Danio rerio: one gene and its partners. The protein of the gene in region 4 interacts with the protein of the main gene of each other region in a biochemical or structural test. Links are inferred from orthologs where the notes say so. Each region holds a gene or a part of one and is shown on either strand. Other genes may lie near its edges. The genes, in order: si:ch73-368j24.12, hmga1b, hdac6 and prkcaa.

Region 1 (7,153 bases), on a different chromosome or scaffold from region 4:
TTTATTGATTGAAGACCAAATTACTAATTTTTTTTATAAAGCATCAGCTATACATTTACTGAAATGCAACAGTTATCCCCCTGTGCAACAGCAGTAAAGATGCGAGGCTGTTTTCATCTGCATTGAACCCTGACGGTAGGCCTATATCATGCAAAGTTATTTGTTGATAGTGAGTTATGGAGACATTGATGGCTTTGGTGAGATCGACGAGTAAACATAAGGTAAGTAGTGTATGGAAATATATTTTATATTGAATTGCAGATTTAAAAAACATACAGTATACAATAAGGGTTCATAATTTCACAGGTTGTAAACCTTTTATTCATTAAACACCCCATATAAAACCCAAGCACTGAATAAGAGTACTAATGTACTCACGCAGGTGCATATACAGTACATTTGCAGATAGCAATAGGTTGTCACCATCCTTGCATAATTCTTTATATGTATACAATACTTGAAGAAAAGTACATCGTAAACTTAATATACTTCTTTGCGTGATGAATATCTTATTGTTACTCCCCTATTACGCAAACATAATGGTTTGTTCTTTTGCAATTTAAAGAAAAGTACACCGTTATTTCACTGTACTTACGCGGTACTTTTCATGCTGAATATCTGGTTGTTACCCCCTTATTACCCAAGCATTACAGTTTGTTCCCTTATACCTACGTAAACGTTATTTATACTTAACACTATTGGTACAGAAAAGTACACCGTTATTTCACTGTACTTACGCGGTAATTTTCGTGATGAACATCTGGTTGTTACCCCCTTTTTACCCAAGCATTACGGTTTGTTCCCTTATACCTACACATACGTTCATTATACTTACTTAGTACGTACAGAAAAGTACACTTTAATTTCACTGTACTTACGCGGTACTTTGCGGGTTGTAAAAGAAAGCGTTACCCAAGTAATCATGTGTAATTCTTTTGTCTAACATTTTAAGATATTTTTATTTCATGCTTTTTATCCTTTTGTCATATGTAACTTTACTGTTTTTGTATGTTAATTTTTTATTTTAGGTTGCCTTTTAAAATCTGGCAGGGGCAACAGATGAAAATTAGCCCTTGTGGCTAACTCGGACTTATTTAGTGTTTTACTGTTGATTAATGGGCATTGTCCCTGTTAAACAAAATAAAGTCGAGCTGCTTACAAATCTAGCTCCTATTGGCATTAATAAAGTCAACTTAGCCACTGCCTTTACATATTTTTAGTACACAGTACCATTGAGATTAAACGCAAAGAAAAATCATCTTTTCTAGACACATTGAGGTGGCTCTTAAAAGAGCCTTTGGGTTTTAATGCGTCAGCAGTAGCTTTAAGCGCGCTCTCCGCGGATGCGGCGGGCCAGCTGGATGTCTTTGGGCATGATGGTGACCCTCTTGGCGTGAATGGCGCACAGGTTTGTGTCCTCAAACAGACCCACCAGATAAGCCTCGCTAGCCTCCTGCAGGGCCATGACAGCGGAGCTCTGAAAACGCAGATCAGTCTTGAAATCTTGAGCGATTTCTCTCACCAGACGCTGGAAGGGCAGTTTGCGGATCAGTAGTTCGGTGGACTTCTGATAACGGCGGATTTCTCTCAGAGCCACGGTTCCGGGCCTGTAGCGGTGAGGCTTCTTGACGCCGCCGGTAGCGGGAGCGCTCTTACGAGCAGCTTTAGTGGCGAGCTGCTTCCTCGGAGCCTTTCCTCCGGTAGATTTACGGGCGGTCTGCTTGGTTCTTGCCATTATAGATGTGATGCTAGACGGAGCTCTAGTAGACTGATGTACGCAGGCTGCATACTCAGCTTTTTAATAGGAGGGCAGTTGTTGTTGAGGCGTTTGATTGGCTGTTGCATTTATGTCGCAGTGTGACGTGAACATTCTGACCAATGGCAGAGCATTACTTTTTTTTTTTTTCCCAGCAGACGACTGACAGACAGTTGCTTTTCCCGCTCAAAAAAACTTATTCAGGATAAGTTATTGTTGCATACAATGGCGAAACTTGCACATTTATTTGTTTTTTAGATAACTTCTTTATCATGTTTTAATGTAGCTTTTGAAAATAAGCTAACAGCGATGTGATTTTCAGATCGAAGCGAATGCTTCAAGTGGGAACTTATGCCTAAAGTAAACTTTAAGCAAAACGTCCTACATTAGTTCTGAATTTATGCATCCATCAGTATAGTATTTTAGGCATTCAATTGTGAGTACAGATAAATTGGATGAAAAAAAACTTAAAAGTTTTCCTCACTTGGGAACGAAAGGGATTGCTTTCAAAATGAACTGTTTGCGTTTCCTGCCCTGGTCTATTTTTCTGGTGGCATATTTAGTTACCGTTTCAAGATTAGTAGTTTAAAAGTGTTTGAAAATAATGCTCTTCACTGTTATGTGAGTGGCTCTTAAAAGAGCCGTTTAGTTTATGGAAGAATCGAGCAGAAATAGTAGATTACTTCTTCTTGGGAGCCGCTTTTTTGGGCTTTGCCGCCTTGGGTTTGGCCGTTTTGGGCTTGACTGCTTTCACCTTCTTGGGGCTCTTGGCTGCTTTCTTTGCAGCTGCTGGTTTCTTTGCCTTCTTGGGGCTCTTGGTGGCCTTCTTGGCAGCCGCCGGCTTCTTAGCTTTCTTGGGGCTCTTTGTTGCCTTCTTCACAGATGTGGCCGCCGGCTTCTTCGCCTTCTTGGGAGATTTCTTAGCGGCGGGCTTCTTGGCTTTCGTGGCGGTTTTCTTGGCTGCTTTCTTGGGCTCAGCTTGTTTCTTATTGAGCTTGAATGAGCCGGAGGCGCCTGTGCCTTTGGTCTGGGCTAGAGTGCCGTTGGTCACCAATGCCTTGACTGCGGTTTTGACGCGGGAGTTGTTCTTCTCCACATCATATCCACCGGCGGAGAGAGCCTTCTTCAGGGCTGCGAGAGACACGCCGTTTCTCTCCTTGGACGCAGTCACAGTCTTGACGATGAGGTCGCGGACATTTGGGCCCGTTTTCTTGGGCTTGGACGCCGCTTTCTTCTTGGGAGCTTTTGCCGGCGTGGCAGCGGGAGCTGGAGCAGTTTCAGCCATTTCTCAGAGGAGTAACCTTCACCTACAACTAGCAGTGAAAAATGAAGCTCTGCTGGGCGGCGCTGTGAACTTAACTGTCACATGAGAACCGTGTAGACTCAATCGCCGCTCCTCAGACAATCGCCTCGACACAAAACTTGTGCTTTCTCCGTTTAAACAAAGACTAAAAAAAGTGCAATAAAATATTTTACAGCAGACTAGAAAGACCTTTTTGATATAAAGAGGGTCAAGCCTTTGTCATGGAATTCAAACAGGAGACGCCCTGTATTTTGTTTTAGATTTATGGAGTCATTTATCCTCAGTTCTTTCACTGAAGTTGTTTTACTATGCACAATAGGACCTGTGAAAATATAAAACAAGATATGCAGCAAGAATTGTTAATGTTTATATATATATATATATATATATATATATATATATATATATATATATATATATATATATATATATATTTATCTATTTATTTTTTAAAATAAGACCTTTTTATATTGTATATTTTATATTTTGTTTCTTTGTTTGTTTCTTTGTTTGAACTTTATTAATCCAAAAGAAAAAAAAAAATCATGTCACACCAGAGTTCATCACTCAATAAAATAAATAAAATATAAAAAATTCTAAATAATATATAAGACAATAATAACAATAAAAAAACATCCATACTGAACAGCTTAATTTCAAGCAATAAGAAATATCCACAGTATAAATGAAATTAAAATTCTACATTATTTATCAATTGCCTTGAAGCAAATGCATGTTTTAAAGTATTTTTAAGTATTTTAAAGATGTTTCAGTACTTTAAAATACTGCACCAGTGAGTAGCATATTAACCTACATAATGCAAAATCTGTAAATAACAAAGCAATCATCAGAAGTTTATTATAGTTGTGGCAGTATAACCCTAACAAAAACAAGATGCCTTGCTATAATGTCTTCTGTCCAAAGATGCTATTATTCTTGTGTCGTGAAAAACATTTAGACCATGCTTCTCGAACTCAATTCCTGGAGGGCCACAGCTCTTCACAGTTTTGCTCCAACCCTAATCAACCACAGCTAATCCAAAAGTTGTTCAAAAGAGTCTCAAACACATTGATTATTTGAATCAGCTGTGTTTGATTAAGGTTGGAGCAAAAGTGTGCAGAGCTGTGGCCCTCTAAAAATTGAGTTTGAGACCCATGTAGACCAGGGGTAAGGAACCTATGGCTTGGAAGCTACATGAGGCTCTTTGATCAAAAATATGTGGTTCTCCTGCTGTCTCTTTTCAATTAGTAATTCAACATTTTTAATTATGAGTTTGCAAGTACAATTACAGTTTTCTTTATATTGTATTTTCTACAGCAAAATTAATAAGAACTCAGTTTACAATAAAAGGACGTTTCAACCAATGCGCATACGTTGTGCTGTGGTTTCACTTGAATAGCGACAACAATAAAGGGTAAGTTATATTTCTTACATTTTCGATGGTAACCTCACGCACGTAAATTCAAACATTCGGGTGGCGATGGCAAAAAGAAAAAAAAATTTAAACACTGGGGTACCTCAAGGCTCTGTTCTTGGGCCACTTCTCTTCTCCATCTACACGTCATCTCTAGGACCAGTCATCCAGAAACATGGATTCTCCTACCAATGCTATGCTGATGATACCCAGCTATACCTCTCTTTTCATCCTGATGATCCCTCGGTTCCAGCTCGCATCTCAGCCTCCCTGTTGGATATTTCACACTGAATGAAAGATCATCATCTTCAGCTTAACCTTGCAAAAACGGAAATGCTTGTAGTTTCTGCCAACTCGACTCTACACCATAACTTTTCAATCCAGATGGATGGGGCAACCATTACTGCATCCAAAATGGTGAAAAGCCTTGGAGTAACGATTGATGACCAACTAAACTTCTCTGACCACATTTGTAGAACTGCTCGATCGTGCAGATATGCACTCTATAACAGCAGAAAGATCCAACCCTTCTTAACTGAACATGCAGCTCAACTCCTTGTTCAAGCTCTTCTTCTCTCCAAACTGGATTACTGCAACTCTCTACTAGCTGGGCTTCCAGCTAACTCTATCAAGCCTCTTCAACTGCTCCAGAACGCAGCAGCATGAGTGGTCTTCAATGAACCTAAAAGAGCCCATGTCACTCCGCTACTCATTCGTTTGCACTGGCTGCCAGTTGCTGCTCGCATCAAATTCAAAGCTCTGATGTTTGCCTACAAAGCGACTTCTGGCCTTGCTCCTTCTTATCTGCTCTCACTTCTGCAGATCTATGTGCCCTCCAGAAACTTGCATTCTGTAAATGAACGTCGCCTCGTGGTTCCATCCCAAAGAGGGAAGAAATCACTTTCGCGAACTCTCACGCTCAATCTGCCCAGTTGGTGGAATGAACTCCCTAACTGCATCAGAACAGCAGAGTCACTCGCTATTTTCAAGAAACGACTAAAAACTCAACTATTTAGTCTCCACTTCACTTCCTAATCTGCAATTGCCTCTCTGGATATCACACTAACTGTACCCAAAAAAAAAATAAAATAAATTACTAATACTTTCCTTCTTAGACTTTACAGACCTGAAACTTGCCTATAGCACTTATTCATTGTTGCTCTTATAGTTGTGTAAATTGGTTCCTTGTCCTCATTTGTAAGTCGCTTTGGATAAAAGTGTCTGCTAAATGTAAATGTAAATTGGCCTTACTTCATACATTGTGGTGCGTCATATTTGTTTATTTCTGAATTATGCATGGGCATAAATAAAGGTTTTGTGTATATATAAATATAAAGGTTTTGTTATAGACACACAGCCCATATGACTCTTTAAAAATGCATTTAAAATCTCAAATGGCTCTTGAAAAAAGGTTCCTCACCCCTGGTTTAGACAAGGAAGCACTGTCAATCTAGAGCAGGGGTGCCGAAACTCTATCCTGGAGGGCTAGTGTCCTGTAAAGTTTAGCTCCAACTTGCCTCAACGCACCTGCCAAGACTTTTCCAGCAAGCCTACTGAGAGCTCATTAGCTAGCCCAGGACCAAGTTTGGGCACCCCTGATTCAGAGTGCTTATGTGGTAAAAGTTTAACTTTTGCTTTCAAGGTGGATTTTACTGTAGCTTTTCATAAATAAACTCACAGGAAAGGCTACATTAACAATAAGCATAATCACAATAATAAATTAAATACATTATCATTTCAGAAAATACAAACGCTTGGTTCAATTCTAAATTCTATCTAACGATGGTGCCCAGAAAATAAGTCTATAAAATCTTTAAAATCTTATTATTTTTAATTATTAATTCTAGTCTAAATAATGTTTGTTTGACATTGAATATAGCCTGAATGGAGTTTGCTGTGTCCCTTAACTATCCCGTAACATCTCCAGGTTTGTAAATATAGAACCTAATTGCAGTATTTTGGGGCAAACAAAGTTGTTTATCAGAAAAGGCTTTATTAGATTTTCTATCCAACTAACATTACATGCTTTTTGATCATTTTGGGTCTTTGTGATGTGATAAACAGCGTTTGTAATGACACTAGGAGCCACTAGAGTGCGATAACCGGATATATTCCAGCTCACCAGAGTGCAAGAGACTTGTGTTTGGAAGAAGGACAGCATGGTGAACTAATGCTACCAATTCACTCTGGTTCGGATATTTTGAGAACAATATTGCTGCTGCTCAAATGTGAGTATTGATTAAGCGTTTATTAATTTATTTTCAATATTTAGTACTGATTTGGCCTGTTTATTTCTTGTAGACAGGACCTGTTATTCTGAATGTTTCTGTCAGTGGTGATTGTGTGATTCATACTTTCAGTGACTACTCTGTGATCTGTGATGGACTTTCATGGAACATTATAGATGATCATCAGTAGTGGTTTTCAGAAGAAGAATCGGATAAATACGGTCAGTTTTACTTTGTCTTTCTATTGTATTTCCCAGGGAGATGATACTCCGATATTAGACTCTTACAGTCTAAATAATATAAATTCACCTCACCATTGATATCATTTAAAGTTTAATAGACTGTTTGTTCAGAGACTGCTTAATTGTATACTGATTGTCTTTATTTTTGTGGTATAAACTTGCATGTGGGGAAATTTAAAAGATAAGATAAAAAAAATCAGTCTGATCAAG
Region 2 (8,577 bases), about 37 Mb from region 4:
TGTGTTTAACTACCTGTGTCACGGTTGCAGGTTTGTGCGCTTCTCCGGAGTGTATGTTTGATCACGTGGTTTTGTTTTGTTTTGGTTGTCCATGTGGATTTGTTATGCTCACGTTCTATGACGACACTCAGCTGGTTTGATTAGTTCGCCAGCTGAGGCTCATCATAGTGCCTATATATCTCATGTGTGTGCGTGCCTGCGCGCGCTGTCTGTGCTCAGGCCCCTGAGGAGAATATCTGGACCCGGTTTTCCTGTTCTGTTCCTGCCCTGTGTTCTGCGTCCCTCTAGCTTGGCACAATTCTTGTTGGTTTATTGACTAAGACTAATAAACATTGTCACTTGCACTTGGATCCTCTCTGACCCTTATTTGAATGTAACTACCTGACCCAATGATAGCAATTTTGGGTTGGTCAGAATTCCTGGAGACTCTCAACCGAAATGTACGGTTACCTGCTCCGTATAGCAAGAGCATAACTAAGAAAATTATCATTTGTTTCTGGAAGAAGGCTTCTCTTTTCTGACCGACTTCTTGGACTCACCTCAACTTTACATTTGGAAAGATTTAGACATGCCACCTCTGGGAACTCTACAAAATTTGATAAAATTAGGGATTTTTTTTTTATTCTAACATAACAAAAAGACTAATAATGCTGTTTGATTTCTGAAGATTTGTAAGTAGTCATTACGTCCAGCCTTTTTGTAGGTCATATATGTCACCATTTTCATGCTTTATTTGACATTTTTGCAGAGATTATTGTTACATGATGGATTTGTCTGTCTGTCTGTTAATAACTAATAGAAAAAAACTAATTAAAAAAATGTCATTAAGTTGCATGCAGTAGAGTGGAGGAACCTTGATGTCAATTTGTATGCAAAAACCTAGAACCGAGTTAGCATTTAGGCAGTTCCGGTTCTCTTGTCCCAAAGTCAATAGGGTATATGCCGAGCTAGTGTTTTTCCCATTTTGATAAACTTCCGGTGACCTTTTAAAGTGATTTTTATTTTTATTTTAATCAGTTCATTTTACTGCATCAATGTTGTAATGTGATTAAAATACATTCAGTTAAATAGACTTTGTCATTCCTTTAGTTGCTCAAGCGTAAAACGAGACATAAAACTGTTGCACGCACCTATCAGAATCGGCAGGTTACCGCAGAAGCTCAATTGAATATACTAGGGTAAAATAAATGCACAAAAGGCATGGTGGGGAAATTAATGCGGTGCTTCTTGTACAATCTGAGACCCACTTTATATTGGATATCACTCAGCCAGTGGAGATCGCTGATTTTTAAAGAAAACAGACCTTAATTGCACCGGTTTTGCAATAGCATTCAGTTCACCGGAAGCGGTTAACCCAGGTTACTGGCAAATTAAAAGTCCTATTAGTATGCTTCGGCATGTACCCTATTGGCTTTTACATAATACACACCAGTAACATCACACTCTTGATTTTTTTAAATCGGTTACGCTTCTTTAAAAAGACGGTTGCTATCAAGTTGCGATATGGGACTACAGGCTGTGTCAATGACATTATACGTCATCGAGCTGAACTGGTCTGGAGCACAGCTCGCTTGTGTTAGGCATTTGGATTTGTCTGTTATTTAAGTATTTTCATGAATAGTATTTAATAGTTTGTAGTGTTTTTCTAAATGGGAATTCATATTGTGTGTAGATAATGCCTTCACTTTTAAAGGCAGTCGAGACAGATTAATTTGTTGATTATTTATTTAATTAAACGATATTATGAAGATACTGCTCACGAGTGCAGCCTGTCTCTTTCCTGCTCTCAGTAATACAAACGTTTGAATAAATGTGTAAAAATACACACATATTAACTGTCATTTTATAGTAATCAGGTGATTTTTCATTAATTTCTTTCTTTATCTAAACACATTTAACTCTGCCATAACTGCAATATTTACACTCCTCCTTAAAAGGTAAAGCATATGTGACTGTATGGGCTGCTTTTCGCTGTACTTCGTGACATAAAAAGAATCTTGAAAGTTGTTCTCTATCAATGAAGGAACTTGCAGGCATTTGATAGACTTGTTCCTCACGCCTCATTTCTGTCACCTGTTAAAGTAAGCAGGCTTAATACACTTATTTAAATATGTCTTATGATATGTAGGCACATTTATACATAGTTTTAAAACTTTTACAACAGCCGTAAAGCAAAAAAAAAATGTATTTCCCACGTAAAACGATCAAAAAGGCACGTAGCTCCCTACTGAAAAAAAAACAGATTAAACCAGCCTAGGCTGGTTGGCTGGTTTTAGCTGGTCAACCAGGCTGGTTTAAGAGGGGTTTTGGCCATTTCCAGGCTGATTTCCAGCCTGGTCTTAGCTGGTCAGGCTGGGAAATGACCAGCTAAAACCAGCTTGACCAGCATAGCCAGGCTGGGAGCCCAGCCAAAACCAGCTATGTCCTGCTTAAACCAGGCTAGTCAAGCTGGTTTTAGCTGGATTTAGCTGGTCAGTTTCCAACCTGACCAGCTAAGACCAGGCTGGAAATGGCTGGAAACCAGCCTGGAAATGGCCAAAACCCCTCTAAAACCAGCCTGGTCGACCAGCTAAAACCAGCCAACCAGCCTAGGCTGGTTTAAGCTGGATTTTTCTGCAGGGAGGTCCATGTGTTTTTGTGAATTTATTTGTTTATAATATATAGTGTGGATTATAATATAATAAAAATCTTTGTCATGGACCATATTTCTAAAAATAAGCTTGAAATGTCTGTAGCAGGGTGGTGCTGATGTCACAGGTGAGCGCCCTGAGGGCACTGTAGTACATTTTTAGCCTAATGTTAGCTTTTCAGTTCTTGCGTTTGCATTTAAGATCCAAAAGTGCTAAAAGTTGTATTTTAGTGTGAGGATTACCCGGCTGGAAAAAATGTGTGAGTGTAATGAACTGTGTTTGAACACAGAGCTTATTATTTGCAATCTTCCTATGGGAAAATCCTATAGAGATTTTTTCTAGGGAACCAGTTTTATGCTAGCAGCCGATTAGCCTACAAGGTGACGTCATAGTTCCTCCTCTCTATTGACCCTCTCAGGCTAAACCATTGGATATAATGGGTGATTTTTGTCCCCCTCCCCACAGCATTTTCACAGACCAATAGCAAAGCAAGGCAAGTGCACCAGCAGAGGGAGCCTCTTTCTGCACATAACAGCAGATGGAGGGGGCATTGGGTTCATGGAGGACTCTTGAGGCGGGAGCTGACAGTGCTTTGCTCAGGGCTAAGTGGCTAACAGCGGGTCACCTGCATTTAGCCAGGGGATGAGCTGTCAACGAAAAAAAACCTGCATACACTATACAGAATTAATAATGCATATGTCTCTGTGTGTTTGCAAACCTGAGACAGCTGTGTTGTACTACCAGGCAATAGTGAGAAAAAAAAACAGCAAGTCTATATTTATATCCACACTCACGGCTATGCCATGATCACACAAAGAGGCTCATTAATCATAATGCGAGTTAATTAAAAGCAAGACTGCTCACTCTCTTGGATGGGCCTTTGTTTTTGCTGCCTTTTGGTCGTCCTCTTGGTTTTTTCGCACTTGGTGACCCACTGGATTCCTGAAAGAAAACATGTTTATTAAAGGGACAGTTCACCCAAAAAGGAAAATGCTGTCTTCATTTACTCTCCTTTCCCTTATATGAGTTTCTTTCTTCAGTTGAACACAAAGAAATGTGTTTTAAGGGAAGCTTGAAACCTGTAACCATTGACTTCCATTGTTTTTTTTTTCTATGGAAGTCAATGGTTACTGGTTTCCGGCTTTCTTTAAAATGTTGTCATTTGTGTTTAACAAAAGAAAGAAACTCATATAGCTTTTAAAAGGAAGTAAATAGTGAATAAATATAATTTTTTGGGGTGAACTATCCTTTTAGGATGTTCCCTCTGTATGTTATACTAAACTGAGGGTGCGTATTTTTATGCATTAAACTGATTGCATTATGTTTGCTCATTGATCAATATATCTGTTAACAGATAATGCAATTGTTTTATGTACCTTAGGATGCTTCCTTGGTCTTCCTCGTCCTCTTTTCTCTACTCCATCCTTGTCCTTAAGGGAGACGGTTTGTTTTTCTGAATCACTCATGATTGCAGTCTGTTCAAAACACGTGGAATCAATTAAATATAATATGCAATATTTAATATTTGTGCTGACTTGCAACTCAAGCATACATTTAATAGCTCATGATTATAAACACATCCCTAAAACCACAAATGCAATGCTAATAAGTGAAGTTTAATTCACTTTAAAACAGTGAAAGACATCAAAATAATGCATAATCAAGTTTCAAAGTTGTACAATTGGCAAATTCACGCCGGTAACCCATCTGAATCACTCTGATGTTGATCATGCAGGCGAGGCGCTCAATAGGTTATGCAACGACAAATCTGTATGGAAGCCATACAGCGTGAGCTCCGCTTTAAAGGCGGACGTGCAAACGAGCATTACAGCCCTCGTGCATTCATTTAACACAGGACGAAACATTGACTTACATGCACTTAAGAGGAATAATAATGTCGTGGTGCGCGCGCTGCTCTGTTCGGCGGCTCCACCTCCCGCACGATGTTAAATTATAGCGCAACCGACCGTCTACCCTTAAAGCACCGTCTTAATTCCGAGGCAAATCGACGTCCGCGGGTGCCAAAAGGAGCGAAATTAACTCTGTCAGCTCCGATCCTGTCGAGGGATACACGCGATAGATGCGATTACGGCGAGTTCAGGAATAGCAGGCTGTCTGAGGAATAAAAGGCCAATGGAAAAGCAGGATGAGCCGCAGGTTGATGGGAAGAGAGGCGGATCTCACGGGGCCATATGCTGCTGCATACTCTATACTGGCGCTGATAAATTAGCGGCGCCAAGTACAAAACAACTTTAGGGATCATGGGATATTTAAACCCTTGAATAGAATAGAATAGAATAGAATAGAATAGAATAGAATAGAATAGAATAGAATAGAATAGACAAATGGATTCACAATCAATCTATCATTTAAAATAACAAAAACAAATCAACAATCAAATGATAGATAGATAGATAGATAGATAGATAGATAGATAGATAGATAGATAGATAGATAGATAGATAGATAGATAGATAGATAGATAAAATTAATAGAAATAGACTAATATAATATATTCATTCATTCATTTTCTTTTCGGTTTAGTCCTTTTATTAATCTGGGGTCGCCACAGCGGAATGAACCGCCAACTTATCCAGCACATGTTTTAAGCAGCGGATGCCCTTCCAAATATAATATAAAATGATATAATATAATATAATATAATATAATATAATATAATATAATATAATATAATATAATATAATATAATATGATAATATAGGGCGAGGCAGTGGCGCAGTAGGTAGTGCTGTCGGTTCATTCCGCTGTGGCGACCCCGGATAAATAAAGGGACTAAGCCGACAAGAAAATGAATAAATAAATGTTATAATATAAAATTAAATACAATAAAATAAAATAATATAATATAATATAATATAATATAATATAATATAATATAATAAAATATAATATAATATAATATAATATAATAAAATATAATATAATATAATATAATATGATATAATAAAATATAATATAATATAATATAATATAATATAATATAATATAATATAATATAATATAATATAATATAATATTAGGGCGAAGCAGTGGCACAGTAGGTATTACTAGGTAGTGCTGTCGCCTCACAGCAAGAAGGTCGCTGGTTCGAGCCTCGGCTCAGTTGGCATTTCTGTGTGAAGTTTGCATGTGCTCCCTGCGTTCGGGTGGGTTTCCTCCGCGTGCTCTGGTTTCCCCCACAGTCCAAAAACATGCGGTACAGGTGAATTGGGTAGGCTAAATTGTCCGTAGTGTATGAGTGTGTGTGTGAATGTGTGTGTGGATGTTTCCCAGAGATGGTTGCAGCTGGAAGGGCATCCCATGTGGTAAAACTTGCTGGATAAGTTGGTGGTTCATTCCGCTGTGGCGACCCCGGATTAATAAAGGAACTAAGCCGACAGGAAAATGAATGAATAATATAACATTAATGCTGAGCAAAGAGTAATCTTTATTAAATACATTAAACTAAAAGTGTGTTTCGACATAATATATGTGTATTATTTTTATTTGGTATGAACGTATATGTGATACACATAAAAAAATAAATATTCAACAAAAATGATATATAGTGTATTACATCCATATATATATATATATATATATCTTAAAATTACTTTTTTCCCTTAAACATATGCATGCATGTGTGCACTTTTATATACACACAGCACACACAAATATATTATGCCAAAACAAACTTTTATTTTGGATGCAATTAATCATGAATATTCTTTGCCCAACACTTGATATAATATAATGTAATATAATATATTCATTTATTCATTTTCTTTTCGGCTAAGTCCCTTTAATAATCTGGGGGTCGTCACAGCGGAATGAACCGCCAACTTATCCAGCATATGTTTTACGCAGCGCATACCCTTCCAACTGCAAACCATCACTGGAAAACATCCATACAGACTCATTCAAACATATACTCCACGGACAATTTAGCCTACCCAATTCAGCTATACCACATGTTTTTGGAGGAAACCGGAGCACCCAGAGGAAACCTACACCAACATAAGGAGAACATGCAAACTCCTCACAGAAAGACCAACTAACCCAGCCAAGGCTCAAACCAGTGACCTTTTTACTGAGAGGTGAACGTGCTACCCACTGCACCGCTGTGCAGCTATAATTAATATAATATAATATAATATAATATAATATAATATAATATAATATAATATAATATAATATAATATAATATAATATAATATAATATAATATAATACATGTACTTAAACAAAAAGAAAAAGACCGGATAGATCACATGCTATATGGGCTATTTAAAAAATAAATGTATAAAATGTTGGTCACTCTATTTTAAGGTACAATTCCTACTATTAACGTTATTAAAGTAAAGTAATTAACTGCTTATTAATATAGGTAGTAGTTGGGTTTACGATTAAGGATATACAATAACATCATACTTTGCAAGTAGCCTACTAATAAACAGCCAATACTTTAATAATAAGCAAGTAATAAGACAGTAATTAATAATGGTAATTGATATTCAAACTAATGTGACAGCCAGACAGACAGACGGACGGACGGACGGACGGACGGACGGACAGACAGACAGACAGACAGACAGACAGACAGACAGACAGACAGACAGACAGACAGACAGACAGACAGACAGACAGACAGACAGACAGACAGACAGATAGATAGATAGATAGATAGATAGATAGATAGATAGATAGATAGATAGATAGATAGATAGATAGATAGATGCAAGAAAGGACAGAAATAGGCTATATTTTAACAATTTAATAACATGTAACTATAAACAAATATGCTATATTGTAATGATATGATAAAGAATACATTATTTTAACAATTTATTATATTTTAAAGACTTTTAGCTCAATAAAGTATTAATTTGCTGCTTAATTTTAAAGTAGACCTAGCTGGGTTTTTGATTAGGGATGTAGAATAAGATCATACTTATAAGAAGCCTATTAATAGGCCTACTACTAAACTGCCAATAATATTAATCAGGTAATAAGACAATAATTAAAAATGAGACTTTATATTTAAATTAGACAGATATAATACGAATATAATACGGAGAAATAATATTAAAAAACAAGCTCCTCTCGTTTCAGTTAGGTGGCGCGGTAATGTGACGTTGGCAAACTACGTCATTGCGCTTGGTGACAGCAGACTGGAATATTCAAAACAATGAGCTTTACGTGATCTGTATGTAAGCGTTTCACTTTGTCCTTTATTTCAATGTTTTCTGTCTTGAAACTTGATCGAACCGATGAGTTGAAATGCGCGACAGTCGTGTTTTCTTGCGTGTTGAATGGCTGTGAATGGATTCTGTCTTGTTTACATTGCAAGCCACTCTAGAACATTCTGCCTTAACACTGCGAGTCAGTAACGTTTTGAAAAGGGAAAACTGCTGTATTTATTTATATATTGAAATTCAGAGATCTATAAAACAGTGTTTAGTTGTGAGTATAAGGTTGGCTAAAGGTATGGGGCTAGTCTGCTAACTAACTGGGATTACAGCTTTAACCAACTGGGATTACAGTTTTAACCAGCAAAGTCTGTGTGTTTGGAGACTGTTGCCACTGCCTGTGTCATAATTACGTATACAATATGTATGTATATATCTAAAATATATGAAAGCATTTAGACATGTATTTGATTAAATATATACATTTATTACATTGATGTGTAATATAATAATAATATAGGCTTATACAATTTTATTTTACTTCAAATAATTGTACTGCATTGATAGATTGCAAATTGTAAAGATTTAAAATAATGAGGTTTTGGTGTACTATTTCTCAAGTAGATTACTTTAATATGTCATTAAATATTCTTGTCTTAATTATGATTATTTGGTGTTTAAATTATTGCTATGTTTAGTGGCATTTTAGTAGGTGAAATTATGGTAAAAGAGGCTATGATATGATTGTGTATTATTAAA
Region 3 (7,927 bases), on a different chromosome or scaffold from region 4:
CGATGTCCTTTTTTTTTGTATTGTGACGCAGTTTCTAGAGAAATGGAATATGAGAAAACAGTGGGTGTGGCTTAATTTTTGTACTGCGAGCTGATTGGATGCTGTAAAGTAGGCATTTCATTCAGAAAGATCAGGAAAAGGATTTTGGGCAGAGTTATTACAACCTTACAGACAAAACAGACAGTTGGAGGGGCGTGGTTAAGTATGTTAGCCCCGCCCAATACCTCAGACAGACCTAATCTGAGAATTGAACTGAAAACAAACAGGAAGAGCATTTTTAATTATAATTTTAGATTACTTTTTTCTTTCTTAATGCCATGCACAGATTAATTGTTCACTACAAAACTTATGAAGAATTAACAAGAATTAATGCACATTTTTACTTAATCTCAAGTGCCTGCAGATAATTGTGCCTAATGGAGATCATTTTAAACTAATCCTGTGCAACGAAGATGAAAACTAAAGGCAATAAAGTGGCTAACGCACAGCCGTCGCAACAGCGGCCTGCAACATCTAACGCAACCTAGGATGAACGTGATATGGCCGCAGGGAGGTCAATGAATTGAGTTTGATACAGCTTCAAGTGACATTCAGACTCTTAAAACTAAAATAATTTCATCACTACGCTGGGATCGTGGCAGAAATATTTCGCTCCGAACTACGGTCCATGCCTAAATATGGTATCGAACATTTTTTGACTAACAAAATCCACTAATATTTCATGCTTTGAACTAGGACTGCATGATATTGGAAAAATCTGACATTGTGAAATTTCATTTTTCTGCAATAAACATTCTGATATATTTACAGAATTTCACTACATGACTTAAAAACTGCTATTTGGAAAGAATTTTGTTTATTAGATTGACTGGCATATATCTGAAGGCAGGTTTGCACAAAATGTAATACACAAACTACAAGCATAGATAAATACAATAGAGCAAAGATGTACAATACAATACAATAGAGCAAAGTGTAATAAACAGTGTTTTATGGTTTTCCGGCCAGTCAAATAGTGTTTAAGTACAGGATATGAATATTCAAATGTAAAATAGCATTACAAAATATAATTAATTCAATAAAATTATTCTTTATCAAAGTTACAAATGGTAGCATCTCTTGTGCCTGAATTTTTTGAACTCTGACAAGCCTCAAAAACATGTGCAATTGATAAACCTTCACTCCATTATGGTTAAGAGGACTTAAAATTCATGATAAAAAGTCTCGGTTGTACCATCACTGCAATATCTTAAAAAAACATAGTCTCTTAAGTTTTGATAATATTATTAAATATACCAATACTTGTTTTGTTTTTAAAATTATTTAAAATTTTTCTGCTCCATCGTTAAAAAATTTGTAAATTCCAAATCAGAGAAAACATCACGAGTGACACGTTCTATGGTAAGAGGGGAATGTTTTGTCCCTAAACGAAAGACCTCTTTTGGTCAATCCTTCTTTATTTATAAATATTCAAATCTATGGACTTCCCTCCCAACAGAAATAATCACATGTACAAGTTATAAGATGTTTTCACGCCTGACTAGGAGGTGGTTTTTGTCAAATCAAATTTGTACACACTGAGTGAGATGCTTTTGAGTTGTCAGTGTTTTAGTTTATATGCGATTATGCTTTAATTTTTTAAACTAACTTTTTAATTAATTGGATTTTATTGTTTTAATTTTAACCTGTCCAGGGACTGCAGGTGGAAATTAGCAATCCTGCTACAACCTGGCACAACGCATCTTTCCTCTTTGAGGTTAATGTAATCTTTGTGCATTGTCCCTGTTAAATAAATTAATTAATTAATAAATAAATAAATAAAAATAAAACTCATGTGTTCTGAGCGGTTTCTCCTGGTCAACTATATTCATAACTCAGCACTGCATATCATGCGATGTGACTATTGCGGATGTGGACATTGCAATATCAATGCTGAAACGATATATTTTGCAGTCCTACATTGAACAAACCCCCAGGCCCCCACCCTGACTTTCAGTGCCTGCAATAGACCTTTTAAATTCCTAAAATTCATCCCCTGCTGAGCATACCTTGTTCCAGGGCAGGTTGATATTATAGCCTTGTCCTGCTCCTGAGCCAACCGAACTGCTGTCAGACTCCTTTAGATGGGGCCAGAATGAGCCGTCTTCATATCTGTGCACTGAGAAATACAGCACACTGCCAAAACAAGAACACGGCAGATGAGACCATTTTAAAATACCAAATATTAATACAGAATATTTGTAATCTTAAATGTTGGTGACTGATAAATATACCTGGGATCCTCTTCAAAAATATACTGGATTCCCTGTCCGTGATGCACATCCCAGTCCACAATTAAAACTCTGCAGTGGGAAACAACAAATTCTCAAACCACAAACTGTATTTAAGACCAGTGTTGGGGGTAAGGCATTACAAGTAAAGCGAGTTACATTATATTACTTTTCTAGATAACGAGTAAAGTAAAAAAAAAAAACATTCATTTATTCGTTAATTTTCCTTCGGCTTAGTCTCTTATTTATCAGGGGTCACCACAGCGAAATGAACCACCAACTATTCCAGCATATGTTTTACACAGCGGATGCCCTTTTAGGCGCAACGCAGTACTGGGAAACACCCATACACTCTCTCTCACACACACACTCTCTCACACACACACACACACACACACACACACACACACACACTCATACACTACGGCCAATTTTGTTTACCCAATTCAATTATAGCACATGTGTTTGGACTGTGGGGGAAACTGGAGCATTAACTGATAACTAGCATGCAAACTCCACACAGAAATGGCAACTGGCCCATCCGGGACTTAAACCAGCAAACTTTTGCTGTTAACCCACCGTGCTAACCACTGAGCCACCATGCCACCACTTTTTGTAACAAATTGTGTAACGATATTTGTTACTTTTTTTTTTTTAAAGTAATGCGAGTTATTTTTTACTTTAATTAATCAACTCTTTAAAAATTAATTGCAAAATTAAAGTTAACAGTCACATTGAATCACGCAGAGAGAATGCATTCATTACATTGAACTGACGGGAAAAAAAAGGAAAAGGGGATTGATTGTCTTAATGGACAGTGATTTCACTCATAAGAAAAAAAGTACAAAAGTAGCAGACACATAGCTTTAAACTTTCATTAATCTGTAGATATGACATGTGGAGCTCTGTGGTCAAAAAGTTCTAAGAAGATAACATTTTACTTCATTATTTTTATGCTTATTTTTAAAGGTGCGTCCTTATTTGCAGAGCTCCTCTATATTAAAATAGAAGAAAAAAACCTGCAAGTTCTGAAAGAGATCAAGCCTAAGCAAAGATAAAGAAAAGCAACGCAAAAGTAATTTAAAAGTAATGTAAAGCATAACTTACAATAAAAAGTGAGTACTTTTTTGGGGGAGAAACCTAATATTGTATTACATTACTTTCAAAAGTCACTTTCCCCAACACTGATGTATTTGCAACCCATTCGGTTTGAGTATTGTTACGTATTTGCAGAATATTTGATTGAATTATTGTTAAACCTAAACTGGAATTTGGTTCATTTGTTTCCTCTGGGTTGCCTAATATTTTCCACCAGCTATGCAACCTTATATCAAGGTATTATGCATATCAAAGTATTATGATATTCCTCTCTATATGCGCCAGACACTTTCCTACATAATAACAACAACAAAACTAAATAAAAATACTAAATTACCAAAAACTAAATTACTTTTTTTACTCAAACTGAAAAATTTGATAGACAAAACAAATATCATATATATATATATATATATATATATATATATATATATATATATATATATATATATATATATATATATATATATATATATATACACACATATATATATATATACATATATATATATATATATATATATATATACACATACATACATACATACATACATATATATATATATATATATATATATATATATATATATATATATATATATATATATATATATATATATAAATATACATATATATATATATATATATATATATATATATATATATATATACACACACACACATGCACAATGTTTCATTTTTTTTAATGATGTAGAAAAATAAGAGAATAATAGAAGGCAAAATAAATGTTTTGCTAATGCTTTAAAATAAGTATTTTCTCTATATTATTTGGAGAAAAAGGTGGGCCTTGCAGTGAAAAAGGTTTAGAACCCCTCTGCTAAATAAATATTAATGAAATAAAAAATCACTTTACAAGTCACTACATATGAAAAACGATTTTGACTCTTACTATCGACAAAGATATATTATATGCTCGCTCACAGTAAGACCAGCAAAATGTAGCTATTCATAATATCTTTCATGTGTATCTAAGCATATCATGGTAAAGAAAGAAAGCAGACTCACCGTTGAACCCTGTGTCGTTTCTGAGCATATCGTGCTGCTATGGCCAGATTATTAAACATACAGAAGCCGTTCATCTTATCTGCCTGAGCATGGTGACCTGGAGGCCTGTGTGTTTACAAAAGACAATATCAACTCCATGTAAATAAAAATAAAAATAAAAAAATAATAATAAAAAAGATATATCTGATTTGTTGAGAAGAAGAGATGCAGTGACACCTGTTGATGGAGAAGCCATTACGCAGCTGTGATGTCATCACCTTATCCACCAGCTGGAGAACTGATCCCACTGACAGACAGGCGGAGCTGAAAAACCCCTGGTGTGGAATTGAATTTGTTTCATTTAAAATGGTCATCATGTTACTTAAAAGCAGGATGCAAATTACACCTTGACGAATGGGGGGGTGTCAACATATTTGCTAATGTTCATTTGCGTAACACATGCTTAATTAATTAAATTATTGTATTTGTTTAAATTACATCTAAATTATTAATAAAACATCTTTCATTTTTTAAGTGTTTTAAGGGATATTTAGTGCATTCTGATTTACAGTAATGTCTGATTAGCTATTTCACAGGTTACTTTGGGTTAAACTATGAAAACTATGAGCCCTATCATACACACGGCGCAATGCAGCGCAAGGCTATTGTTGTCAGCTGAACGCCTCGCTTAAACATTTCTTTATACACACAGGATGTACAGCAATTCACAAATGTCTTTACAAATGAAAAATAATTACAGGAATAAAATATTACAAAAATTAGTATTTTCTAGCCTACATAAATATAAAATCCACTCCTTCATGCCTTCTTCATCTCAGGAGGCTTTTTCAGTTTACTCATGACTGTTTGCTTCTGAATAATGTTATCATTATTAGCAGTATTATTTATTATCTGCATATTTATTTTGCTCTATTAAAAACAAGCTTAGATAAACCTGTCAGGTTTTAGACTATATGGGGCACAGCATGTGTGTTTGGACATAACTCAGTTGTTTGACCACACTTCGTTATTATTGTTCATTTATTCGTTTGCTGGAAATGAGAACTGAATTTAGAAATAGTTTTGAAACAAATCTTTGCACTTAAAAAACAAAATTAATTATGTAGGCTAATGGATGTCTGTGCACACAACACGTTTCCTTATCCACAAAAGAGAGTGAAAGTGAAAGTAAACAATGAGTAGGCTCATCTCTCATTCTCTTGCTGCAGATGCTCTGTTTAACTGTTTTCTCTTTAGTAAAGCGTTCAGTTATTCCACTTACTAAGTTCAACATGTAAATAGCATATGCGATTATGGCGCGACGCAACTGACTCTTAAAAGGACTGGGAGATAAGACTCTGATTGGTTTATTCTCAAAACACACCTATAACTCATTAAGAGAATAAGCTCAACCCTGTTAGACCATGCGCCACGGCACAGAGCAGATTTTTAAAATAGTAAAAGTGGATTCAGACACGCCCTTAATGCTTTTGCGCCCTGCGCTTTCGACTTTGCGCCTGGATCATCAAAATAGAGCCCTATGTGTCTAATTTGACTTTACTTTTAAGCTAAATCTATACAAAACAGCTATTTTACTAGAAAAAATGTCTTTTTAACACTTACAATGTCCATCTGTGGTGTACATGCCAGTTTCAGGCCATCAAATTAATATTTTTCTCGCACAGATGGATTTCTCGCATAGACTGATTATGCATTCACAATGGTATGAACCGTTATAGGGGTGGTAAAATGTATATTTAAATATATTATTTATATTATTTACATTATTATTTAAGATATAAATCAGAGAAAACTATTTCTCACTATTAAAGAGCTGATGTCCTTTGGGAGTTAATTACGGGGGTCAGCCCCCCCCCACCACCCAAACCCCCCTGTAATTTGCACTTTGCTTGAAACCATATATGTACTACCCTTTGGCAGGATGGATTATTTTTATCCTATTATGTAAACATGTTAAAATGTCACTGTTGTCAAAACAAGGGGCCAATATAGCAGTTACTGATTCATGTTTAGGAGCATTTCTCAAGCTCTATATTAACTTTATGGTGACTTAACTAGGAATGTCTGGTTCTGATTTAGAACAGAGTTACTGACTATATGTTCAAGTCAAAATTATCAGAGCTCCTGTGAATTTCTTTTTTTAAACATTTCCCAAATGATGTTTAACAGAGCAGGGAATTTATCGCAGTATTTCCGATCATTTTTTTTCTTCCGGCAGAAAGTCTTATTGGTTTTATTTCGGCTTGAATTAAAGCAGTTTTAAAAAATCTTTAAAGCCATTTTAAGGTCAATATTAATAGCCCCTTTAAGCTATATATTTTTTTGATTGTCTACAAAACAAACCATCGTTATACAATGATTTGCGTGATTACCCTAACTTGCGTAATTAACTTAGTTAAGCCTTCAAATGTCACTTTAAGCTGAATACTAGTATCTTGAAAAATATCTAGTCAAATTTTATGCGCTGTCATCATGACAAAGACAAATGAAATCAGTTATTAGAAATGAGTTATTAAAACTATTATGTTTAGAAAGAATTCAAATTCAACAGGAGGGCTAATAATTCTGACTTCAACTAAAATTGAAGACTGAAGAGGACTTACAGGATGCAGGTAAACCGAGTCATATTTCTCAGCAAGAGTCTTCAGTTCTTCCTCTGTCATGTTCTGTGTGGATTTCATCAGTTCTACATACTCTTTCCTGTCATACCAAACACACACACACACGCACACGCACACATACACACCCATGCGACATGAGATAATCCTAAAACAATTCCTACACAATAATCAGTGTCAGTCTTATAATCTTAAACCATGACACAAACTTACGTGTGCACGAGTAGCAGCTCATCTTCTGTCACAGCTCTAGCCTAAAATGCATTAACAAACTATTCAATGCAAGAGGAATACAGGTAATATACGTTCAAAATAACATCAATAGATGTGTATTTCTACCTCCACTTGTACACAGCGTCCCAGCAGACCCTCAGTCTCCAGCATCTCCATTACCGTGCTCACTCTCGCTGGACACTCTGGATGACTGTTAAAACAAAACGACAAAATCAGCCATTATAATAACTTCTATAAACCATAACTAAGAGAACTTCTATGAATGTAGGCAGCTTTCATTGATGCAATCACAAAAATAGTTATTGTTCTTAAAACTTATGCTCATTTAAGGTAAATACAGCATTAGTGCATAGGACCAAAGGACATTTCTGAATGCATCTTATAAGATAAGATGTGTTCATTTTATCAAGAGGTTTTTCAGTTTTATGCACATTATTGTCATGGGTATAATTATCCTAAGGCCTTACCTGGCATCCCAGAGGCAGTGAAAGCGAGTGAAGGCGTCTACATATACAAGACCTGTTCCTGTCGCTTTGCTCTTTCCTTGAACATCCTAGAAAAACAATCCCAAAATATTTATCAACCATTCTGAAAGAACTCTACCTCTGAGCATGTGATTACACGCAGATAAAAAATATATATACTGCATGCTCATAACTGAAGTAAACAAATAATTTTATA
Region 4 (8,499 bases):
TTGTCATGCATGAAAATACTCACAACACATGCAAATAGAGAAATGCACTGCAAATGGCAAAGACCACATCGAAAATGTGTCGAGGGACCCCAAAAACTGTAAAGACTGTTTGAGATTTTATGGAGATGCATTCCCACTGCAGAATCATCACAATCAATATGATTTGATTTGACATTATGAATTATTTTCAAAAAGAGATAAGTCTTCTTGTGAAATTGTATTCATAACACTACAGATATCGCAAAATAACAAAATATTGCAATCATTATTTTTCCAATAACGTGCAGCCTTATTTAAATGCTTCACATTTTTGCAGAAATTAAGAAAGAACACACATCCTTTGCTCAAGTAGAAGTACAAGCACAGAAACAGATGTTTAAAAAGACTTGAAGTTGAAGTACTGTACTCAAGAAAAGTAAAAAGTACGTGTTTGAGGGCACACTTCAAGTAAAAAGTATCCATTTTTACACTAAACAGAATGCTGTATCAGCTTATTATCAGATTTTATTACTAAACAGAAATTTTCACTAAACAGAGTTACATCTGTTCAGCAGAGACCTATTTATGTGGTTAAATGCAACAATGAACCCGTTTTCAGAAATCCAAAAAAAAAGGGATCAGGTGTAAACAGCCCCATAATGCTTCCTCTCTTCTCTCCTGTCGTGAGGACACGCATAACATGGTCATCCATCAGGACTTCTTTAACCCAACAGATACTTTTTTTGTCATAAGAAAAGTGTCAATGATTTAAATCTCAAGCAGAAGGGTCCACAATGGGTGGTTCTCATTTATTATTTGTGCATCCTTATCTCCTGCTTTTTGCAGCTTAGTCCCAGCAATCCCAGGATATAAGGGAAGGAGAAAGGACAATAAAGGTCAACCGAATCGCAGCAAAACTTCTTTGTATTGGTGTGTTCTACTTACTTCAGTATCATTTCCAAGCATCATCAGCTTTTCTAAACTGAACTGCCCCTATATTAGAGGGATAGCTGACTCAAAATGACAATTCCATCATAATTTAATCTCCCTTTACTTGTTTCAAACTTTTGTTTTGTTTTCGTTTCTTTCTTCTATTGAACACAATATTGTAAAGAAAGTTTGTAAGCCTGTAATTATTGACTTCTATAGTATTTTTTCCTACTATGGATGTCAATGGTGGCAGATTTTTAGCTTTCTTCAAAACATCTTTTTTGTATTCAACAGAAGAAAGAAACTTTTAACGTTTTGACCACTTGAGGTAGTAGATTTTCATTTTTAGTTAATCATTTAAAACTTCAGAGTTGTTGGTAGATCGGATATGGTTGTGGCCGGAAGTTAACGAGAATAATTTATATTATTTATAAAATAATAAATTATTTATAAAAATCGGATTTATTGTGTTTAATTAACATCTACCCAAACCTCAACCGTCACAGTAATGTAAAAACAGTAGTTGTACCCAGTTATATTTATGCTATATATTAAATAACCCAATAAATTTTATTTTTTAATGCCTACCCCCACCCCAAGTCTAAACCCAACCATCACAATAACGTGAAAATATACTGCTAATTTAATGTGCAAAATCGCACTTCCGATCTGCCGTATATCTGATCTAGACCTTAACAAACTTCAGTCCTTAAGTTTTGTCTATTCGTCGCTATCTCTGTTTGAAACATGCACTTGCCTTTATTTTCAGAATTATCATATTCACATAGGTTGTGCATTGGAAGGACTGAATGAATCCTTGAACGTTTTAAGAAATATGTGTGGGTTTAAGTCAACAATGTGAAAGAAAAATTTGCATTGTTTAAGTCCACAACAATGTGAATATTATACTATGAAATCAAAGCTCTTATTTCTTAAAAGTTCGGCCAAACTAGAATTTTCACAAAATCTCATCTAAAATTATGAGTGACATTTTGTTCTGACCAACTGCAAAATAGCCTAGTAGCTGGAAATCCTTCTGTATTTATGAAGAGACAATGACGCAAAGACAAACAATGGCAAGCTCATATTTCCTGCAAAAATCCTACCTGTCAAATTAGAAAACCGCTTACCATTGTGAATTGGGCTAAGGTAAGGAGAGAGTTTAAAACACTGGCTGTTATTCAAAAATTTGTTTAGTGTTTTTTTTATCCAAAACAACTTAGCTTCCACATGGAAAATGCATGTACTTTGCTAATAGCTCCTTTGAAACCTACTCATTATTTGTCCTTGCATTCTTAAGGTACAATAGAATTCAAAGAAACGAGGAGCAAAGAAACTATAGTAAACCTTTGCTTTAACAGTCCTACCACATCAGAATAAAACAATTGTGGAAATGTGTTGGGCTGATCAAAATTTTACTAGTCAAATGAACACCCAATAACACCCTGTCCTAACTACATGCATTGCGATGCCGCAACACACAATGAAGGGTATTTTTTTCCATGACAAAACAACTTTTTGTCCTAATACTACTATGACAAATATCCCCTCAGGTACAGATTGTGTGCTATATTCAGAGTTAAATGTTACCAATGTGAGTTTAAATAATAATATATGTGACAATTATTGCCAGTCTACTGAAAGCAGCGGTATATAGTCACTCAGGCTATCTTGCTGCATCACATAGCAGTACACGGTGTTAGGCTGGACATACTGAGGCCTTGTTTCCATTTGAGCTTTTGTTGGTCCAACTAATGAACAAAATAGCTACATATACAGATGCAAATGTCCCCGGAACATCTTACCAGTGTTGGGGGTAATGCATTACAGGTAACTGGAGTTACGTAATAATATTCCGTTTCTAAATAATTACTTTTCAAAAATTGCATTGATTTCCTTGTGTTCGACAACATCTTATTTTTAGCAGAAATGCACAGTGAAAAGTACAATATCACAATAAATATGCTACAGTGATCAATTATTGAATATTAAAACTGTGGGTCAGCTTGTGTTTGATGGCTTTTCCTTAAAGGCGGTCATTTCTTTCTTTCTAATTGGTTTGTACATCAGGATTTAGTTTTATCTTATAGTGTAAATTATTTTTTTTTACATTATTTCATTCATTCATTCATTTTCATTTTGGCTTATTCCCTTTATTAATCAGGGATCGTCCCAGTGGAATGCACCAACTTATCCAGCATATCTTTTATGCAGCGAATGCCTTTCCAGCCGCAAACCAAGACTGGGAAACACCCATACACTCTTGCATTCACGCACATACACTATGACCAATTTAGCTTATTCAATTCACCTATAGCGCATGTCTTTGGACTGTGGGGGAAACCGGAGCACCCAGAGCAAATCTACGTGAACACGGGGAGAGCATGCAAACTCCACACAGAAATGCCATCTGACACAGTTGGGGCTCCAACCAGTGAGCTTCTTGCTGTGAGGCTATAATGCTACCCACTGTGTCAACGTGACGCCCTTACATTATTACATCATGTTGTGTTTTACAATAAAGCTTTTGTATTTGTTTAACATTATGTATTTTTTGTGTATTACCATTTTCCTTATATTGTGGAAAAACAGCATGTGAATGTTTAATACTTATATTTTTTATTTTAAGTAGTCAATAATTTTGTATTTACTTTGGTATACCAGTATTAAATGTTTTAATCCATGCTCAAATTCAGTTTGCAAAGATGAAAATGTGGCTAACCATCTGTAAAGCTTTGTCCACCACAGGTTCCTTTTTTATATCATACATTTTAAATTAATACTGTTTGCACCTTTGGTAACTTGACTGATCAGTGGCTACTTGTGATTGTATTACTGAACATGACTCTTAGTACTTAGTTCCAATTGAAAAACATGGCTCAGTATGCACACATTAAAATCACTACAACTGGACTTAAAATAGTATGCTAGAGACAGATGTCAAGACCAATGTGTAAATTCTTTAAAAATTTAATTATGCATTGTGTAAAGCACACTTTCACAGAGTTACTCAAGGACAAATGAATATACAAAAACCTGCTGTAATTCACTGTAATAGCTGTGTAAATGCATGTATTATTGTTGTGTATTTAGTTTTACAGACAGCAAAATTAATTCTGATAACAGGATCAATTATGTGCTTGTAGTCATTGTGAAATCTGGGGGGAAAACTACACATTTCAATCAAAAAAGTAACGTTAAATTTAAATTAACTAGCTTTTTTAAAAATGTGTAGTTCATTGAAGCCGTTTCCAGAGATGGTTTTCTTCAAGAACCATCCCTTTATGTGAGAGACTTTTCACTGAGATACCAAAGCTATTGGGTTTCTTTCTTTAAGTCAAAGTTATTTAGCTCAAGGCCAGCCAAGCAATGTTTATGTGACACACTACAGCTCACTCCATCTCTGCTGAGTTCAATAATCAGATACAGCAACTCTCTTTCATTCTGAACATTTGCTTGTTCTGTTGCATTAAACTCAGCTAATGGTGTGTGGAAAGAAATTTGGTTGTAGATAATGTCTTAATTTGAAACGAGACATAAAGCAACTTCTTCATATGTATATATGGGTTCAAGAGTGACTATTCAGAGAATTAGCGGAACATGCCCATCCCTCAATAGTTGCTTACCTTGGCACTGAAATCCTTGCTTTCCAAACCCCCTGATGAAGAGAAGAGAGAAACAATGCATTAGAGGTCTGCCTCTCTAAATCCTTTAATGGGCTTTTAGCTATCAGTTGCCTTCCACTGAACAAGCAATCCCTTAATTAAAATGTACACTGACAGCTACAATATCTAATGTTTGATTTGTCACGACACACATGTAGGAAGCAATAAAAGGGGATTTTTTTTTCAATCACTTTTACAGGGAGTCATAAATTGAATCATTAAAGGGGACACGTCTGCATGTTAATAAATAAACTGCTGTAATATTGCAATTTATAAGCTGTTTCCACGAATTTGTCTATACATTTATTGACTCATATCTGAGCACTTATATTTGAACTTTTACAAGTTACTACATTCTTAAACTATCAACAAGTATGGCAGTGTCTTGACTGAGCAGCTGAATGCCCCACTGTGAGCCTGGACAAACTGATCACGCCCAAATCATGGCAACACCAGTAAACGCTGAAGAATGACGATTACTGGAACATTTTAAAACTTTAAACTTAAAAACTTTAACATTAGCTTTGTCCAACGAAAAAAAAAGACATTATGAAAGAAAATCAAAGCGTGTGACAGGTGTGAAGCAGAGTTCTTTATGACAGTGAAATAAACTAAACGTGTTTATGTATGTGTATTATCAAAACAGCTTAACTGTAAGCATTGCGTTTCTTAAATGCTTGAACTAGTAGTGTATGTTTTTATGTGTACGTCTGGTTAACAGGCCAGTAGCAAGATCTACAGTATCTTTAAACTTACACTGCTACTGCACTAACGTTAATCATGTGTGAAATGATCTACTCACCAAATGAAGTCAGTGCAATGACTGCAGAAAGTCGGCTGCTTGAAAAACCTCGCGGTGAATTTATGGTTTTTCACTTCATGGACGTTTTTCTGCCTCAAAGCACCTTTACGGGCAAATCGATTTGCAACGTCAGACGAGGATTGCTCGTTGCTTTGTGTATCAGCCATTGCAGAAACACGAGCGAATAATTCCCCGTAGAGTGTGAGGAAGTTGCTGTCAGATAATTATAACGTTGTTTTTTCTGCCGTAGTTGTCCGTGTAGCGCAACAGTTGGGCGCGCGCGTGCGGAAAAGGTTTCTCCTGCTTTCGCCACAACTACTGTGTGTGACAGCTTCCAGCGAGCGCTCCGCTTCCTTCTCGCTCGAGGTGACGTCACCGAAGTGTCCTTCTGCTGGGAGTGGATAATAACGCTCGCCACTGGATCATGAGCACCGTGCAATGAGCGTCATCCGGCGGTCAACAAACCTGTTTGCAAGTTACTGTGAAGAATCCACGAGATTATCACCAGTGACTTTTGAGACAGGTTTGGATGTTTTCTTTTTCTTTAATCTACAAGTTTTGCTGAGCGTTAAATTTTGGAAGCATGATTTGGTGTCCTTGGTGAAGTGTTTATTTTCTTACTCGCGAAAGACTGGCGTTAAAAAAAACAAGAACAAAAACACTTGAAAAATACTTGATGTTTTACTGAGACCGTACGAGTTCTGGTCAGCCAATCAGATTTAAGAACCAGAATAAATATATATGTATTTAATAATAAGCCAGAGGCAAAAATTCAGTAAGTGACATTCTAAGTCGAACTGTCTTATGTAGTAGTGCAATGCACACCTCCCACCAATGTCGATATACTGTATATCCACATCGCACTGCTACTTGTGTGAAATATATATATATATATATATATATATATATATATGGGTTATTCTCACGAAACCAGTAAAACAACGTGGCACTTAAGATTTTAAATATAAAACTTAGTAATTTGTTAACAAAAAAACATTATAATAAAGACAACGCTGTTCTCTACGAAGCACAATGTGTAATTTCAACATAATTTACTTATTTCTAATCATTTTACTGCATTTTCTACTAAAATTCTCATTACCGAAACGTGTCCATGCATTTTTGAACGTGTGTTATGTTGTAATTTAAACAAATTAGCATAATTTTTTTTGAATAAAAACAAATGAATTGTTTTAATAGGTTATCTGACATGATGAAACAAATAGTTTACAGAATATTCATGTATAATAACATTTAGAAAAAAATGATAAATTAGGTGTCCGTGACAGATGTTCTCATCCTCTGCAACCATTTTAAAGTGCTGTTTAAACACACATAAAGAGTTTAAATAAAGTTTAATTTTGTATATAGAAGCACATGGGCCAGTTGTTTTAAGATGACTGCCAGGAAAGAAAATCTTTTATATTTCTCCAGTTTAATGTAAAATTTTCTCCTGTCAAAATGGTTACAAGACTTTTTGATTATCATTACCGAAACAGGAAGTTTTCTACATTAACATAATTGTTAGATTTGCAAATCTTTATGAAAACAAACTTTTTTAAAGACTTAATTATATGCACTGAGAATTTTTTTTTTAAATCATCATAGCTTCCCTATTATTTGCAAAACATATTGAGGCACCTCATTCTCCGCAACTCTTTTCTCATATACCGCAACCATTTAGGGACAGTTGCGGTAGAGAGAACATGTGTTTCAGGAATGAGAATTTAAGTAAAATTGCATACTAAATTCAAATTACTCTTTTGAATTTAATGTTAATTTTAAAATGTACTAACTGTTTATATTTTGCTTTGATTTGTTTCATTTTAAACAGTCAGCAATGAAAAAAATTTAATCTTTAGCAAAAGCCAGGTTGGAAAAATTGTACAGCAACCCAGAACTACTTGAGGAGTATAGAAGGAAAGAAAGAGAGAGGTTAGATTTGGAGATGGCATAGCAGGTGTAATTACTAAAAGAAAAGCTCTACAGTGTTAGGAAATCTAATCATTTAAGTTAATAATTTAGCTTTGATCTGCACACACTCAGTGTACAAATGCGCATACACGCACACAAACATACACACACAGAGGGCCCTATTATACACCTAGCGAAATGTGGGGAAAGGCGTGACGCAATTGTTGTTTGCCAGTTTCAGCATGGTGCAGGAGTCGTTTTGAGGTTTTGCGCCACGCTGTTTAAATAGCAAATGCATTTGCGCTCATATGTGCGCCCATAGGCGTTCTGCTCTAAAAAGGAAGGCATTCTGAGGAGCATTGCTGGCGTGGTGCTATTTTGAGAAACTATAATAGATTTTTCAATAGACCAGAACAAAGTAAATTGTAAAATATTACAAAACATATTATTTTCTAGCCTACAAAAATATAAAAACCCTACTTTCATGCCTTCTTCATCTCTAGAAGCTTTTTCAGTTATTTCATAATAATTTGCTTTTGTATAATGTTATCATTAGCAGTATTAATTATTATATACATATTTATATTTGTTTCATTAAAAATAAGCTTAGATTTGGCCACCTGTCATGTTTTAGACCATATGGGGCACAGCATTTGTATTAGGATATAACTCAGGTTTTTGAGCACACTTCATTATTATTGTTCATTTATTTGTTTGCTGGAAATTAGAACTGAATTTAGAAATAGTTTTGAAACAAATCTCTGCACTTAAACAAAATTATTATTTACAGGCTAATTGACGTCTGTGCATAAAAGGTTTCAATATTAGATCATGCATTACGATGCAAAGCGGATTTTTCCATCCTTATATTAGCAAAAGTGGATTCTGACACACCCTAAATGCGTTTGCGACCTGCACTTTGCATTTTGCGCACAGATCATCAAAATAGAGCCCCAGGTGAGAAAGAGAAAATAACCAAATATGTCAAATATGAACATTTATAAAATATTTTGTTTGCAAAAATACTAAATCACCATGATTCTGAAAAAAGATGCTAAGTGGGAAAAACAAACACACTGCATCATACAAAATGTTAAGCCTTTTGTGTAGTCTCTTTATAGCCATATGTAGTTTTTACGTAATCAAAATAAAAAAAAACTTTACACTTCAAATCACTTTGTCAAACAACAAATATCAAAACCTTGTCAG

The links.
Region 1: of the proteins of prkcaa (region 4) and si:ch73-368j24.12, one has a biochemical effect on the other in vitro, tested with the Homo sapiens proteins (2 studies listed by BioGRID). The link is inferred for Danio rerio from reciprocal best matches to the Homo sapiens genes PRKCA and H1-5.
Region 2: of the proteins of prkcaa (region 4) and hmga1b, one has a biochemical effect on the other in vitro, tested with the Homo sapiens proteins (2 studies listed by BioGRID). The link is inferred for Danio rerio from reciprocal best matches to the Homo sapiens genes PRKCA and HMGA1.
Region 3: the proteins of prkcaa (region 4) and hdac6 form a complex in vitro, tested with the Homo sapiens proteins (2 studies listed by BioGRID, with this or other methods). The link is inferred for Danio rerio from reciprocal best matches to the Homo sapiens genes PRKCA and HDAC6.

Annotation. Positions count from the first base shown.
Region 1 is NC_133182.1:6,160,194-6,167,346, forward strand, and holds si:ch73-368j24.12 (histone H1-like), read right to left. Parts: upstream 3,084-7,153; 5' UTR 3,042-3,083; coding exon 2,436-3,041; 3' UTR 2,345-2,435; downstream 1-2,344. Other genes in the region: histone H3, read right to left, coding at 1,325-1,735. UniProt on the Homo sapiens protein: Histone H1 protein binds to linker DNA between nucleosomes forming the macromolecular structure known as the chromatin fiber. Histones H1 are necessary for the condensation of nucleosome chains into higher-order structured fibers.
Region 2 is NC_133181.1:56,825,832-56,834,408, reverse strand, and holds the start of hmga1b (high mobility group AT-hook 1b), read right to left. Parts: upstream 4,659-8,577; 5' UTR 4,504-4,658; intron 4,106-4,503; 5' UTR 4,097-4,105; coding exon 4,007-4,096; intron 3,573-4,006; coding exon 3,495-3,572; intron 1-3,494. UniProt on the Homo sapiens protein: HMG-I/Y bind preferentially to the minor groove of A+T rich regions in double-stranded DNA. It is suggested that these proteins could function in nucleosome phasing and in the 3'-end processing of mRNA transcripts.
Region 3 is NC_133183.1:8,963,414-8,971,340, forward strand, and holds part of hdac6 (protein deacetylase HDAC6), read right to left. Parts: intron 7,800-7,927; coding exon 7,714-7,799; intron 7,437-7,713; coding exon 7,352-7,436; intron 7,267-7,351; coding exon 7,226-7,266; intron 7,095-7,225; coding exon 6,998-7,094; intron 4,709-6,997; coding exon 4,611-4,708; intron 4,500-4,610; coding exon 4,395-4,499; intron 2,343-4,394; coding exon 2,274-2,342; intron 2,176-2,273; coding exon 2,049-2,175; intron 1-2,048.
Region 4 is NC_133181.1:19,673,105-19,681,603, reverse strand, and holds the start of prkcaa (protein kinase C, alpha, a), read right to left. Parts: upstream 5,703-8,499; 5' UTR 5,544-5,702; coding exon 5,377-5,543; intron 4,568-5,376; coding exon 4,536-4,567; intron 1-4,535. UniProt on the Homo sapiens protein: Calcium-activated, phospholipid- and diacylglycerol (DAG)-dependent serine/threonine-protein kinase that is involved in positive and negative regulation of cell proliferation, apoptosis, differentiation, migration and adhesion, tumorigenesis, cardiac hypertrophy, angiogenesis, platelet function and inflammation, by directly phosphorylating targets such as RAF1, BCL2, CSPG4, TNNT2/CTNT, or activating signaling cascade involving MAPK1/3 (ERK1/2) and RAP1GAP.